Xenopus tropicalis: one gene and its partner. The protein of the gene in region 1 purifies or fractionates together with the protein of each later gene. This does not show direct contact. Links are inferred from orthologs where the notes say so. Each region holds a gene or a part of one and is shown in the gene's direction. Other genes may lie near its edges.

Evidence for each region. Proteins that work in one complex are often made in the same cells at the same time.
Region 2: the proteins of lztfl1 (region 1) and bbs7 purify together in Homo sapiens (affinity purification with mass spectrometry; 3 studies listed by BioGRID and IntAct, counting the BioPlex papers as one, with this or other methods). This does not show direct contact. The link is inferred for Xenopus tropicalis from reciprocal best matches to the Homo sapiens genes LZTFL1 and BBS7.

What each region holds. Positions count from the first base shown.
Region 1 is NC_030682.2:64,757,108-64,764,996, reverse strand, and holds the start of lztfl1 (leucine zipper transcription factor-like protein 1), read left to right. Parts: upstream 1-3,578; 5' UTR 3,579-3,602; coding exon 3,603-3,653; intron 3,654-7,889. UniProt on the Homo sapiens protein: Regulates ciliary localization of the BBSome complex. Together with the BBSome complex, controls SMO ciliary trafficking and contributes to the sonic hedgehog (SHH) pathway regulation. May play a role in neurite outgrowth. May have tumor suppressor function.
Region 2 is NC_030677.2:66,808,568-66,815,851, forward strand, and holds part of bbs7 (Bardet-Biedl syndrome 7 protein), read left to right. Parts: intron 1-603; coding exon 604-676; intron 677-1,193; coding exon 1,194-1,310; intron 1,311-2,516; coding exon 2,517-2,647; intron 2,648-2,777; coding exon 2,778-2,862; intron 2,863-3,887; coding exon 3,888-3,990; intron 3,991-5,027; coding exon 5,028-5,220; intron 5,221-7,284.

The sequences.
Region 1 (7,889 bases):
GAAGGACTGTTTGCCCCTGGAACCAAGGTAGTGTGTTTCTGTGGAACTACCCAAAAAGGAACTTTGTTTATTCCCATTGGAACTGCCTGGGGAGGCTACCCAGGTAATTGTGACTGTCTGGGTGGGACACCTTTGTGTATTGGGGGTTGGGCTGGGAGACTCGGCCTTTGTTCCCTGGAGACTGTGCAGAGGGGGGTTGCCCTGAAGACTCCCTGTAGGAGGATTGATGTGATTGGGACTTGTGGACCTTCCATGCGTATTGCCCTTTCCCTGTTATCTACGTTTGGTTGTAATAAACCCCTGTGAAACAACCCCTGTGGAACGTGTGGTATTTCCCTGATTGTGCTAGCGGCTCATACGTCATACGTTGTGTGACAGGGACTGTCCGCGTAAAGCGGGACAGTTGGGAGGTATGGAGCAGTAGTGCCTGATCTGTCCAGTGAGGAGGCAGCTCTACTGACCAACTGCATCAGCTTAAGCTGGCCATAATGATAAAATCTTTGTACGATTTTTGGACCGAGTGTTGGGACAGAATTATCATTTTCACACCTTGGTGATCAGTTGTTTAGTTGATCGGAAGAAGTTTAAAATCTAAACATGTATAGTGACTAGTGATGTGCGGGCTGGCCCGATACCCACGGGTCAGGCAGATTTGGGCTGACCTCGGAAATCACTTGTGGGTCGTGGGCAGGTTCGGGTTCAGCTCTCCCTGCCTACTACCTAACACTGTCTGCCTTCGTCTTCTGACTTTATAGGTGCACCCGCCCCTTTTGTGATATCATAGCGGCGCAGTTCAAGCACTTGGCTTCTGTCCTATATTTATAGACCCACACTCTGTCCTTACCCACCCGCTCCCAACCTGGGAAAAGTTTGGGTTTGGAGTGGGCTGGCTATGGCCAGGTGCGGGTCGAGTTTTTCTTAACCTTAAAGGAGACATTTTATATAAAGTTCATATTCAGTTATAATATTCATGCTCCCTCAAAATGTGAAATGATACAGAAAGAAAGATGTTGGGAAAGTATTTTAGCTCCTAAAACTGTCATTATATGAGAGCTGCATAGACAACCTCTCAAGTCAGAAGCCAGAGCAAAATGAAACATGGGAGTGCCGCTTCAGTCTCCCACAGGAAGTGGTCACAGCACTGACTGACAGGCTTTACTCAACAGTAGCAGGGAAAACCCCTCCCAGTTTCCTTCTTCCATGTCTCTCCGCTTGTGCTGCCGCCGGGGGTGCGGAGCGAGTACAGCAGGAACGCATACCCCCCAACTGTCCCGCTTTTCGCGGGACAGTCCCGCTTTTTATGGCGCGTCCCGCTGTCCCGGATAGTTCCATGAATGTCCCGCATTGCGGGACATTCATGGAACTATCCGGCACAGCGGGATGCCCTTGCTGTACCGGATGTTCACGCTTTGTCTGCGGCTTCTTTATGCCTCTCCTTGTGCAGCGCGACAGTCCCTTTTATAAGGTTGCGCCTGTGGGTGTGACGTCATTACGCACGGGGCGCAACCTTATAAAAGGGCCTGTCGCGCAGCGCAAGGAGAGGCATAAAGAAGCCGCAGACAAAGGCGGAGCGCCTATGGGAGGTACTGTGATAGGGGGACACTGTGTATAGGGGGCTACTGTGATAGGGGGACACTGTGTATTGGGGGCTACTGTGATAGGGGGCTACTGTGTATTGGGGCACTGTGTATTGGGGGGCTACTGTGTATAGGGGCACTGTGTATTGGGGGGCTACTGTGTATAGGGGCACTGTGTATTGGGGGGCTACTGTGTATAGGGGCACTGTGTATAGGGGCACTGTGTATTGGGGGCTACTGTGTATAGGGGGCACTGTGTATGGGGGGTACTGTGTATGGGAGACTACTGTGTATTGGGGGCTACTGTGTATTGGATGGTACTGTGTATGGGGGTACTGTGTAGGGGGGGGCTACTGTGTATGGGGGCTACTGTGTATGGGGCGGGCTACTGTGTATGGGGGGGGCTACTGTGTATGGGGAGGGCTACTGTGTATGGGGGGGCTACTGTGTATGGGGGGCTACTGTGTATGGGGCTGGCTACTGTGTATGGGGGGGGCTACTGTGTATGGGGCGGGCTACTGTGTATGGGGCGGGCTACTGTGTATGGGGGGCTACTGTGTATGGGGGGGCTACTGTGTATGGGGGGCTACTGTGTATGGGGGGGCTACTGTGTATGGGGGGGCTACTGTGTATGGGGGGCTACTGTGTATGGGGGGGCTACTGTGTATGGGGGGCTACTGTGTATGGGGGGGCTACTGTGTATGGGGGGGCTACTGTGTATGGGGGGATACTGTGTATGGGGCGGGCTACTGTGTATGGGGGGCTACTGTGTATGGGGGGAAAAACTGGTACTTAGCTATAACTCACTTATAACTGACTGCCTTCTCTCTATATTTGTATTTTAATGTAGGAGTTGCTGTATTGTTTTCCTTAGGTCGTTCAGTATGAGGGTATAGCACATTTTCGTCTGCTCCCGCCATTTGATCTATATAAAAGGGGTATTTTTTTTAAAATGGGGTGTGGTAATTGGGGCGTGACCACAAAAGGGGGCGTGGTCAAAAAATTGCCGCGCTGCGCGCGCCAAATCTTTTTGTCCCTCTTTTCATTTTTCAAATGTTGGGAGGTATGGGAACGGACTGCCTGTGACATTGCAAAGCCCACCCACCTCACTGCACTTTATGTAGCTGCTGCTCTGTTACTGAAGTCTATTAGGGCCAGCACAGCCATATACTGAAGAGTCTAAGGGCAGCACCACACAGGGAGATTAGTTACTGTACGACAAATCTTCGTTGTCGCAGGCGACTAATCTCCCCGCAATGCCATCCCAACGGCTAGAAAAAGTAAATAGCTGATGGAATGGCATACGCTACGCTGCAATTTGCCTAAGTCGCCTGAAGGCAACTTCAGCAAATAGCGGCGCCAGATGGAATTGCGGGGAGATTAGTCGCCCACGACAACGGAGATTTGTCACGGTGTGACTAATCTCTCCCGTGTACCCCTGCCCTAAACCGGAAGCTTGCAAAAGGTCTGGGTAGAGCACAGTTTTCAAGCAGTTATGGACATATTTGAACCTAAAGATATTAAAATAAAAGCAATTCTATTTTACATTGTGCATTGTAAAAAAATATGGTATATGCCCCCTTTAACAGAGAAACTCAGCTGATTTGAAAATTGCTTAGAAGGGTTGCTAGGCAACGAAGTAACTTCAACTGAGCATGTGCGAGATTTGAGTGCTTACGTTCAAGCAGAGATATACGCAGTAGTGCAGTTTACCTGACCTGTCCAGTGAGGAGGCAGCTTTACTGAATAGCTGCAGCAGCTAACAGACTGGCTGCTGGGCAACGAAGTAACTTCAACTGAGCATGTGCGAGATTTGAGAACTGAAGTTGAAGGAAAGAGATAAGCAGTAGTGCAGAATACCTGACACGTTCAGGAAGTAGGCGGCTCTACTGATCAGCTGCAGCCCCTAACAGAAGCTCGGCTGATAGCAACGTTGTTTAGAAGGGTTGCTATGCAACAAAGTAACTTCAACTGAGCATGTGCGAGATTTGAGAGCTGAAGTAAAGCTATACATAAGATTCCAAGATGTCTGCCACAGATAGGACTGCAGTGAAGATAGGGGAGTTTTTGCAGAAGGTATAGTGAACTGATGCTTTACATTATACAAACAGTTCTGTTTTGAAAATCGGATTTCTTGAACTTTAACATAGTGTCTTTACTTAGTAAATCATTTTTGTGATGTTTGGTGCACTTTAAGTCAAGATGGTTTGCTGTGGTTTTGATTATCTGCTGCTTTGCTGTGTTAAAGGGATAAAGTCATCACATAATGACCTACTTTTATAACAATAGCATTTTGCTTTAAATGCAGGATTTAAAACATAGTTTTATGTTGCTAAAGATTCTGTGTATTTACATCCTTAGATGCATTCATTCTGAATCACTGTGCAACACATGTGAGTTGGCATGTAACATGATGGAACACATATATTGCATGTGCTGTGACACGGTTTCCTCTAACGCTCTGTTTCGCCCTCACCCATGTAGGACAGGTAGAGAAAATATAGTGTCCCTCGGGCAATGATGGATTCACATGGGGCATTTGTTTGTGTATTAAAACTGACAAACAATCCACCTTTTCCCAATGGGCAGTATCATGTATCACACCTATGACAATGAACTGCCTACTGCTTCATGATTTAGCTTGCACTTTTTTTCCATATACTTCATATATATTTTTACTTCTCTAAGAAGCTGCACAAAAGAGGCTGCTGACATACATCACATTACATTTACCTAACAGCGAACCTTCCTCCAACCTGATAAAATGCTACTCAGTAAAGCAATTCCAATGCACTTTGTATTAAAGAGATCAGCAGCAGCAGCTCCCCTTTTGCAGCTTCCCAGCAGAAGTAGGTTAAAAAGACTGCACACAATATCATTAAACAATAAGCAATACAGTGTCCTTGCTGTGAACAGACCCATGCTTAAAGGAGACATATCCTATAAAAATTATGAATGTACCAGTGAATTATACTCCTCTAGATACAGAAGGATTGTGCTTTAAAAAGTTGTGTTTCTGACTGATTTATTGAGAAATTCCACAAAAACACCACTAGTCCCGCCCATCTGTTCCACTTCCTGCTGGCTGAATTCTCTGGATGAGCTGGGGAGCCGGCAGCCCTCCGTACCCTGCACTGTACTGTAGGATAGGAACCAATCAGCAGCTAGGCTGACCTGATAGGGAACTGAAGCCTGTCTTTGCTTGTGTGAGTGCAGGGCTGTGATTGGCTCTCCCCCTCCTACTGTGCTTCTGGCAGGGACCGTTAGGACACGCCCACTCTTCATTTCAAACTGGATGGAGAAGTGATAGGATCTATATGGAGCTCCAATAAAGGGGCCATTTTTACAGAGAGGATTAATTTTTAGCACAAAGTGAAACCAGCACTGTATATTATTCATAATTGCCTACAAAATAAGCGTTTTTCCCCATTTATCCAATATGTCTCCTTTAATACATTTCGCAAAAGCAAATGAAAGAGCTAGGTGTTACACATTCCAGTTTATTGATAGCTATGGGTGCTATGGGTGAAGTGTTACAAGCTCCATACATGGGAGAGGTGTGGGCCAAAATTGTTTTAATCACAGTTTGAATAATCTGGTGTGATTTACACACACCTGGCTAGTAGGTTAACAATAACAATAGCATGTCCTGATTTTTTTGCCCATATTAACCCTTTTACTGCCAGCCATTTTGGTCAAAGCGGAACTTGTATTGCCAGACAGTTTTTGAACATTTTGCACTGTTTCACTTTAGGGGCCTTTCCTCGGGGGGACTTTTAGTTTACCAAGGAAAACAATATATCGTTTTTTTCAGAACAACCTAAGCTTTCAAAATATGGTAGAATTTTTGTGTAATTCCAATTCTGTAACAAGATATAGGCTTCTAAATCAAATTTTCCATAATATAATCACACATACTAGAAACAAAAATTATTTTATGCACGAATATACAACTGATTTGGAAAGTCCCATGTCTCCTGAACGTGCCAATACCAAATATATATAGTTTTATGGAGATTTCTCACTTGTATAGGTCAAAAACTCCCAGCAGTACACTACCAAATTCCCAAAGCACTGCTCCAAAAAAACTGCATACTTTGGATTTCAAGGCCAAAATTCCACTAACAGAAGGTTTATCCCAGAAAATTGTACATTTTTGGAAAGAACAGATTCTGGGGAATACAGAATAGGCACAACTGTCTGTCTACTCCAAACTATCAAGTCGCAATGCTTTCCTAAAGTTATTGGTTTTTATCAAAATTTGTGATTTTTTTTAAAAATCGCTTCAAAGCTTCTAGTCTATAGTATCTTATCTCCTACAGGTCATAAAGTAACCAAATAAAACACCCTAAATATGAATGCCTGGGGTCCACTGAACAGTTTGATGCCCAATATGTATAGGTTTACCTAAGTATGTGGCATGTAGGGGCCCCAATGTGAACATACCCCATATGAACTGTCATTTCTGTCATTTCAGCTTCTGCAAAATCAACACATTTACATCATTATATGTGGGATGAAGCTAGTAAAAAGTACGCTCACCCCAGAAAGTCATATATTTTTGGAAAGTACACATTCCCCCGAATCTAAAATGGGTACCCATGTCTTTCTACTCCAAAGTACCAAGCCGCACAGCTTTTCTAAAGTTAGCAATTTTGATGACATTTCCAAAAATCCCCTCAAAGCTTCCACTTTGAAGCATCTTATCTCCCACATAGCATTAGGTACCAAGATAAAACACCCTGAATTTGAACGCCAGGGGTCCACTGAACAGTTTGATGCCCAATATGTATAGGTTTACCTAAGTATGTGGCATGTAGGGGCCCCAATGTGAACATACCCCCATATGAACTGTCATTTCTGTCATTTCAGCTCCTGCAAAATCAACACATTTACATTATTATATGTGGGATAAAGCTACAAAAAAGTACGCTCACCCCAGAAAGTCATATATTTTTGGAAAGTACACATTCCCCCGAATCTAAAATGGGTACCCATGTCTTTCTACTCCAAAGTACCAAGCCGCACAGCTTTTCTAAAGTTAGCAATTTTGATGACATTTCCAAAAATCCCCTCAAAGCTTCCAATTTGAAGCATCTTATCTCCCACATAGCATTAGGTACCAAGATAAAACACCCTGAATTTGAACACCAGGGGTCCACTGAACAGTTTGATGCCCAATATGTATAGGTTTACCCAAGTATGTGGCATGTAGGGGCCCGAATGTGAACATACCCCCATATATACTGTCATTTCTGTCATTTCAGCTTCTGCAAAATCAACACATTTACATCATTATATGTGGGATAAAGCTAGTAAAAAGTATGCTCACCCCAGAAAGTCATATATTTTTGGAAAGTACACATTCCCCCGAATCTAAAATGGGTACCTATGTCTTTCTACTCCAAAGTACCAAGCCGCACAGCTTTTCTAAAGTTAGCAATTTTGATGACATTTCCAAAAATCCCCTCAAAGCTTCCACTTTGAAGCATCTTATCTCCCACATAGCATTAGGTACCAAGATAAAACACCCTGAATTTGAACGCCAGGGGTCCACTAAACAGTTTGATGCCCAATATGTATAGGTTTACCTAAGTATGTGGCATGTAGGGGCCCCAATGTGAACATACCCCCATATGAACTGTCATTTCTGTCATTTCAGCTCCTGCAAAATCAACACATTTACATTATTATATGTGGGATAAAGCTACAAAAAAGTACGCTCACCCCAGAAAGTCATATATTTTTGGAAAGTACACATTCCCCCGAATCTAAAATGGGTACCCATGTCTTTCTACTCCAAAGTACCAAGCCGCACAGCTTTTCTAAAGTTAGCAATTTTGATGACATTTCCAAAAATCCCCTCAAAGCTTCCACTTTGAAGCATCTTATCTCCCACATAGCATTAGGTACCAAGATAAAACACCCTGAATTTGAACACCAGGGATCCACTGAACAGTTTGATGCCCAATATGTATAGGTTTACCCAAGTATGTGGCATGTAGGGGCCCGATGGTGAACATACCCCCATATATACTGTCATTTCTGTCATTTCAGCTCCTGCAAAATCAACACATTTACATCATTATATGTGAGATAAAGCTACAAAAAAGTACGCTCACCCCAGAAAGCCATATATTTTTGGAAAGTACACATTCCCCCGAATCTAAAATGGGTACCCATGTCTTTCTACTCCAAAGTACCAAGCCGCACAGCTTTTCTAAAGTTAGCAATTTTGATGACATTTCCAAAAATCCCCTCAAAGCTTCCATTTTGAAGCATCTTATCTCCCACATAGCATTAGGTACCAAG
Region 2 (7,284 bases), on another chromosome or scaffold:
TATGGTAGACCTGTTACAAAGTCTTTTTTTAATTGTGGCCACTATTTACTGGTTGTTTCCATTTTGTGTAAAACCATGTTATTTATCTGACCTCAGTTTTAACATTAGAGCACTATTAACACTGGAGCACAAGTTAACAAGGTCCTGTTTGCTAGAACCTACAATGTATAGGTGGAGGATTAAAGGAGAGGCATGAGATGGTTTGGTCAAAAAGGAAACCGTGTCAATGCTTTTCTATTCAATTACCCAACTGTCAGATCTACAGTATGTTCTCAGTCAGGGTAGGCATGCTGAGTAAAGAGACAGGGATATGATATGTTCAGAGTTGAACATAATGGGGCTCTTGAAGAAATGCGATGCTTAGTAACACAGCCACTAACTTTGAGTCTCCTGCTGATGTCAGCAATTGTTTTGGTTGTTCTCTTCCTCCCTCATTCCCACACATTCCTCTGAGTTGTACGGTAAATGGTTGTATACATTAAAATACAGAAAGATATACGAAAAAAACTACCAATACAAGAGGTAAAAAGGATCCTGTCTGAAAGAGCTAACAATTATATTTGATGGTTGTACTTAGATATATTTACCTTTTTTGTTAATTAGGGCTCAAGTTTGATGTATGAAGTTGACGTTCCTGGACCTCCGTCTATTTTGGCTTTGAACAATGGAAATGGGGGTGAGAATTTTGTGTATTTATTGTGCGAACAGGGAGATTTGTTTTGGGGGCGACTAATCTCCCCTTGTGCCAGAGCCCTAAGGCTATGGTTACAGGTAACTGTTTATGCTCAGCCAAACCACTTGCCTCAGCCCACTTCACTGTCTACACTAGCAGATTTATCTGCTTTAACAGGGGGCCATTTATAAACACTGGGCAAATTTGCACCTAAGCAGTAACTCATGACAACATCTGATTGGTGGCTACGGTTTACTGCCCACGTACAGATTTGCCCAGTGCTTATTAGAAAAGCCCCACGGAGCGGATTTTGGTGCTAAAGTGCATGCTCATGCATTTCCAAGTTTAGTGATGGGCGAAATAATTCGCCAGGCATGGATTCGCGCTGAATTTTGACGTTTCAACATCGGTGGATTATCTTGTGAAACAAAATTTGCTGTGAGACAAAAAATTGTCGTGCACGTAAAAAAAAATGCTCATGTATTGTTAAAAAACTGCAATCTTATTCTTTTGTATTAAGGTGAAAGTGGGGAAGAACTTTTATACGGCACATCGGATGGTAAAATTGGATTAATTCATATTGCAATGAATACTCCGATTCCCAAGTGGGAAATTCCAAATGAGAAAAAGAGGGGAGGTGAGTTTACTGAATTTATGTACTTTAGATTTAACTAATTTGTATATTCACCAGCCATCCATCCTGCAGTCTCCAGTTGTTAAAGGGATCCTGTCATGATTTTTATGGAGTAGTTTTTATTTCTAAATTACACTGTTTACATAGCAAATAATTCACTCTACAATTTAAAGTTACATTCTAGAACCAACAAATGTATTTTTTTAGTTGTAATATTGGTGTGTAGGCAGCCATCTCAGTGCATTGTGCCTGAGTCTGAGCTTTCAGAAGGAGCCAGCGCTACACATTAGAAATGCTTTCAGATTGTTTCTCTTACTCCCATGTAACTGGAGGAGTCCCAAGCCAGACTTGGATTTCTTACTATTGAGTGCTATTCTGATATCTACTGGGAGCTGCTATCTTGCTACCTTCCCATTGTTCTGCTGATTGACTGTTGGGGAGGGGCAAAATCTGGTTGCATTTTTGAAAAACGGATTTCAGTGCCGGATTCTGCTGGAAAAGCTCTATTAACTGATGCGTTTTGAAAAAAAACTGTTTTCACATGACAGTATTCCTTTAAACAATTGTCATTATATCCTAATAGGTCATAGCAAGAAAATAAAAATGTAAAAATAGCTATTTCAATTGTAAGACTTATTCCAGGCATGTACATAATGGTAGCTGAACAGCAAAAAAACATACTTTAGACCAATTATTTCTAGACACAGGAGGCAGTTGCTAAATAAATCTCTCCTGGAAAATGTTTCCTTTCCAGGTTGAGTAGGACAGAAGACACCTGCTAAGCATTGCTGAGAACTTTTCACCACAGTTTCAACAAAAACTAAACCTCCCCCAGACACTGCCATCTAATGAGCCCCCTTCCTGCTCCTTCCCCGCAGGGTCAGTGAACAGTGTCTGATAGTAATGCTGACCTATACAAGCAGAAAAGCACAGCAGAGCTAGCAGGCACCATCTCCTTAATGTTCAGGCATCCATTTGGCATGAGGGAGCTTGCTGGCGCTCTGTGTCACTGAATTGATCCAATGAGAACATAAAGATTCAGAGGATGGCATTTATAAATGGGATTGTATCACTTGCAGATATTGAATAACCATTGAACTCTTATGTTGTTAATTATATAGTACTGGGGATAATCAAGCAGTAAACTTTAGTTAAACTAATGCACATTTCTCATATATATTTTTTAATTTGGATATATTCGTCTGTTAGGCATCCTATGCATTGATAGCTTTGATATTATTGGAGATGGAGTAAAGGACATGCTTATAGGCCGTGACGACGGCACAGTGGAAGTGTATGGCTATGACAGTGCCAATGAACCTGTCCTCCAATATGACCATGTAAGTTAGCATCTCTATAAAAAATATTTTATATAAATCTAAAATAATTCCAAATTTGCTTCTTTTCTTAATTTTATCTGAAGCAGTTTTGATCATTTTAAAGCAGTTGTGTAATTGAAAGTCTTCCTAGTCTTTGACAGAAAGCATAACATCAATCCAAGGAGGCTGTGTTGGGAAGGACGGCTATGATGAAATAGTGTTATCCACATATTCTGGTAAGGCTGACTTACAACTCCTCTGTTAACTTAGCAAATAGCTGTGGACTGTAAGCACTTCACAGAATTTTCCTTGGACATGCAGCATTTAGGTATTTCAGAGGCATTAAAGCACAAAAAATACCCTGATTCAACGGTGATGCATATATGTTAGGCTGCTTTTTCCCTGGCAAAGCACAAACCTGGGATAAGAACTTAGTGATTTGATTCAATAGGGGGTGCAAACATATTAGCAGCCCGCTGATTTAATTGGGTTTCCTTGTCCGGTTAATGATAGAAGGGCATAGGAATGCCTTCTGAGTCATTATAAATATGTACATGTATGTGTCCATGTATGGCAATAAGTGCAGCATTTTTATGTTCACTCCATGCTAGCTCTTTTTTTTTTTTTTTTTTTTCAATTAGAGATTGTCATATTGTTACCAAGTAGAAATAAAATTTATAGCTACAACTGTTAAATGGTAACATTGTTTCACCATTAATAATAATAATAAAAGTTACATTATTTTATTTTCATTGTTTCCTGGTATTTATATAGTATTGACACATTTACACAGTGCTTTATAGAGATTATACATCATTCACATCAGTCAGTTTATTACATAAATTAACCTGTCTATATGTATTTGAAATGTGGGAGGAAACCCAACCAGATATGGGGAGAACATACAAACCTCTTTTAGTGCCCAAGCTGAAATTGAACTCAGGACCCCAGTGCTACCAAGAGAGCTAATGTGCTGCTTCCTATAAAAACAAACCAATAATGTAGCCCACAGCAAAAATAACACTAGATACACATATTTGGCCTAACACATTTCATGCTTCTTGTGTATTACAAATTTGTGATTGGGTGGGGTACTTTTAGTACATTAGTTTCATTGCCTCAGCACACTATTCACTTGTATATCAGTATATCATTTATTGGCTTGTTGACAGCTGCCTTGAACTTTATTTCTATTTCATAAATATAACTTTCAGTTATATTGGGTTTTTGGAGTCTTGACTGGGTATTCTGTTTTTTGTAGGATGGGTGACTGGACTCACCACCGAGCCTATACATAAAGAAGCTGGTCCCGGGCAAGAGTTAAAAATGAGCCAGGATATGCAAAACAAAATTGCTTCATTAAGGTAGTTATCTTCCAACTATGTTTTGTATGAAATTGTAGCATTATATTCCTTTTGTAGTTTTTTTCCCTGTAAAATGTTAGTTTAAGGTGAGCATTTTTCTGAGAAGCACCTGTGCCTGTGGTTTCCTGCAAGCCTTAAAAGGAAGCAATAGAGGGTGATTTGGGGTGAAATCACTTGATGTGCTGTTGCCATTAGTTTAAAGCTATCTTTAATCACCACAGCAGTGTGCAATAGAACAGCTGGTTACCATTTACAAAGAGTAGTAAAGTAATGTTTTGGGTTTTTTTTTAGTGGGCACATGTTTCTGCTAGGTTCATTCTATCTGCCACCAGGCTTATTTTGTACAGAATTGTGTGTGTGTGTGTATATATAAATATATATATATATATATAATATAAAAAAACTAATAATAAAAAGTTATTGTGAGGGAATCTAATAAGGCCTTTAGTTTGAGACTTTGATTGAGATTTCCGTTTATGTTCTTTAATTTCCCTGTGTGGTTTGATATTTGGCTGCTGCACTACTTACTACCTTATAAAATGAGGGAGGGCCCTGTCCTGCTGCTCTTGTGTTGTTTATTAATAAGTATATTTTGATATATATTTTTATTTACCAGGACTGTTTAATGATTATTTTCAGAGAACTATAAGAAATTGTTAAAGGTGCATTTACTCAGCAATTTGCTGTATATAATTGCTATTCTCAGCTTTTAATATCATGCTGTGAATAAGAAGTATATTGATTATATGGGTTGTATTGAGTAAATTTAATGCTTGTTACTAATGGGGCAAACTGCAAAATTGAAGTGTTTATTCCTAGAATTATCTCTTTATAAATGCCATGCAAGTACAGCAAGTACAGCCATGTTATGGTTGTATTGATCGCAGTTGCACTGAAATTTAATTACCAGCAAACAAAATCAAGATGTATTAGTAGATAACCCAACAGCAGATAGCAGTAGATAACCCCAAAAAAGGTTAAATTCATATACCAGTTTCTCCATGAAGTAAATGATACAGTTGCTTCTGTCTGTATAGGTCTGAACTGGAACAGTTGCAGTTTAAGGTCCTTCAGGAACGTGACAGGTACCAGCATTCTTCCCAGTCAGTTACTGCTGTGTCTGCTGTGCCTGTCTTCAGCATCAATGACAAATTCACCTTAAACCAAGATGATGCCAGCTACAGCCTTATTCTGGAAGTACAGATGGCCATTGACAATGTACTGATACAGGTATTATACACAAATCCAATATATCTGTCTTTTTATATCTTACTTTGTACATTACACCTATATAGTGTGGGTTGGAGTTAAAAGACTTTCAGCTGTGTATTCTTTTGTTTGGACTGACTGGGTTAAAATGCCTCTAAATCTATGTTCTGCTGTGTTTAAGACAAATACAACCCTACACATACAGTCCTACAAAGATGCTAATTGCTATTGTTTACCAAGATTGAAACATTTTCCACAAATTCCATTGTAATAGCAGGTACCCACAATATGCATGCAATTCAACATGCAAGTGATTTATAAATGCATATGCCAATTAATGTTTGGTTTGATTTGGCAACATTTTTCTTATTGAATTTATTTTTGAATGCCATTTTCAGCTAATTGTGTCCATAATGCCATTATCACACAAATCACTTGTATAAGTAGCTGCAACAAGCTAAAAGAACCTTCTTAAAAGGGTAGTTCACCTTCAAGTTAACTTAATGTATGTTATAGAATGGGCAGTTTTTAGCAAGTTTTCAATTGGTCTTTAATTTTTTTTTTTTTTTTTCTAGTTTATAAATTATTTGACTTTCAAGCTTTCAGTCACTGATATTGATAAATTATAGTGCTGTTAGGCTACAATTTTATTGTCACAGTCATTTTTTTATTACTTATCATTTTATACAAACCTTCTATTCATATTCCGGTGTCTAATTCAAAGAACTGCCTGTTTGCTAGGGTAATTTGGACCTTAGCCACTCTATAGTTGCTGGAATCTCAAACTGGAGAGAAAGCTGCAGACCAGTTACATATTGTCTCTGAATATTATTCTCTAAATCATACTAAAATTTAATTCAAAGTAAACAATCCATTTAAAGGAGAAGTTAATTCTAGAACTTGTGATTTATACATATGCACAATTAATCAGCAGGTGCTTTTTGTAAGGAGAGTTTCTGGGCACAATAAGCCATGTTTGTAGCACCCAAAGTTGCACTTCTATGACTAAATGAGCCTCCAGATCTACAGTACTGGAGCAACATCACTGCAAGGTGTTAATGTCTAGCTAGTTTTTAAAGCAGCTGGAGAATAGCTGGTGTTATTTATTATTCAGCTTATGGGGGATGTTGAGTGTGGGGTAGGGGTGGCTGCAGTAACTACTTATGGATAACTTAAAAACTGAGGAATATCTAATGCGTTATATTTGAACATTTTTACTTTACATCTAAGATGTTTGCACTATAATTTATTGTTTGTTATAATTCCCCTTTATGTTCTTATAAAGGGGTTGTTTACCTTTGTACAACATTCACAAATGTGAAACAGTTCACATGAATAGAATAATCTTTGCTATATACATAAAAATGTGCATCTGAAAACATATCATCTCAGAATCATCCCACTGCTGTACCTTCACTTCTGCACTAGTTGCTATTTCACTTCCTTATATGATGCCACACATAGTACTGGCAGCAGATTCTTATTGGATGTGTCTCCTGTCAGTCTGACACTGCTTCCTGTGCCTGTGGCAGAATGCTGCAAGTCTTACACAACAGCATGTTAGATTTGTTAAATGCTGAGTCTGTTTGCCTATGCCATTGCAAGAGAGAAATTAACCAATGACTTTTCAACTTATGTAACTGGTTAGAGTGCAACCAATGAATTAGTCCAGTAGAAAAAAAAGAGGGCAAAGCCCGGACATGATGGTGTAAGCATATAGGAAGTTCTAAGTGTGTCAGGTTCAAAATAGATTAAACAGTGGCCTTTTTACTTTTTTTGTGGAAAATGGATTTTCTAACCTGCTGAGAGCATTGTTGGTGGTTTAAAATTATTTGGACATTGAAGGTGAACAACCCCTTTTAAATATTATATATATGGTTTGGTTGTAGCTACTACTTGAACAGGAAAATCTAACCTGTGAACTACTGTTCTGCCAATAAGTACATATTATGTATTCAATGCACATTTACTGGCATAGTATTTAATCTGAATGCCTGAGACAGCCTCTATACAGGCAGCTTCTTATTTGCTTTAGTGAGAGTATAAAACAGGAAGAAAGATATGTAGATTACCGGCATCAGTGCA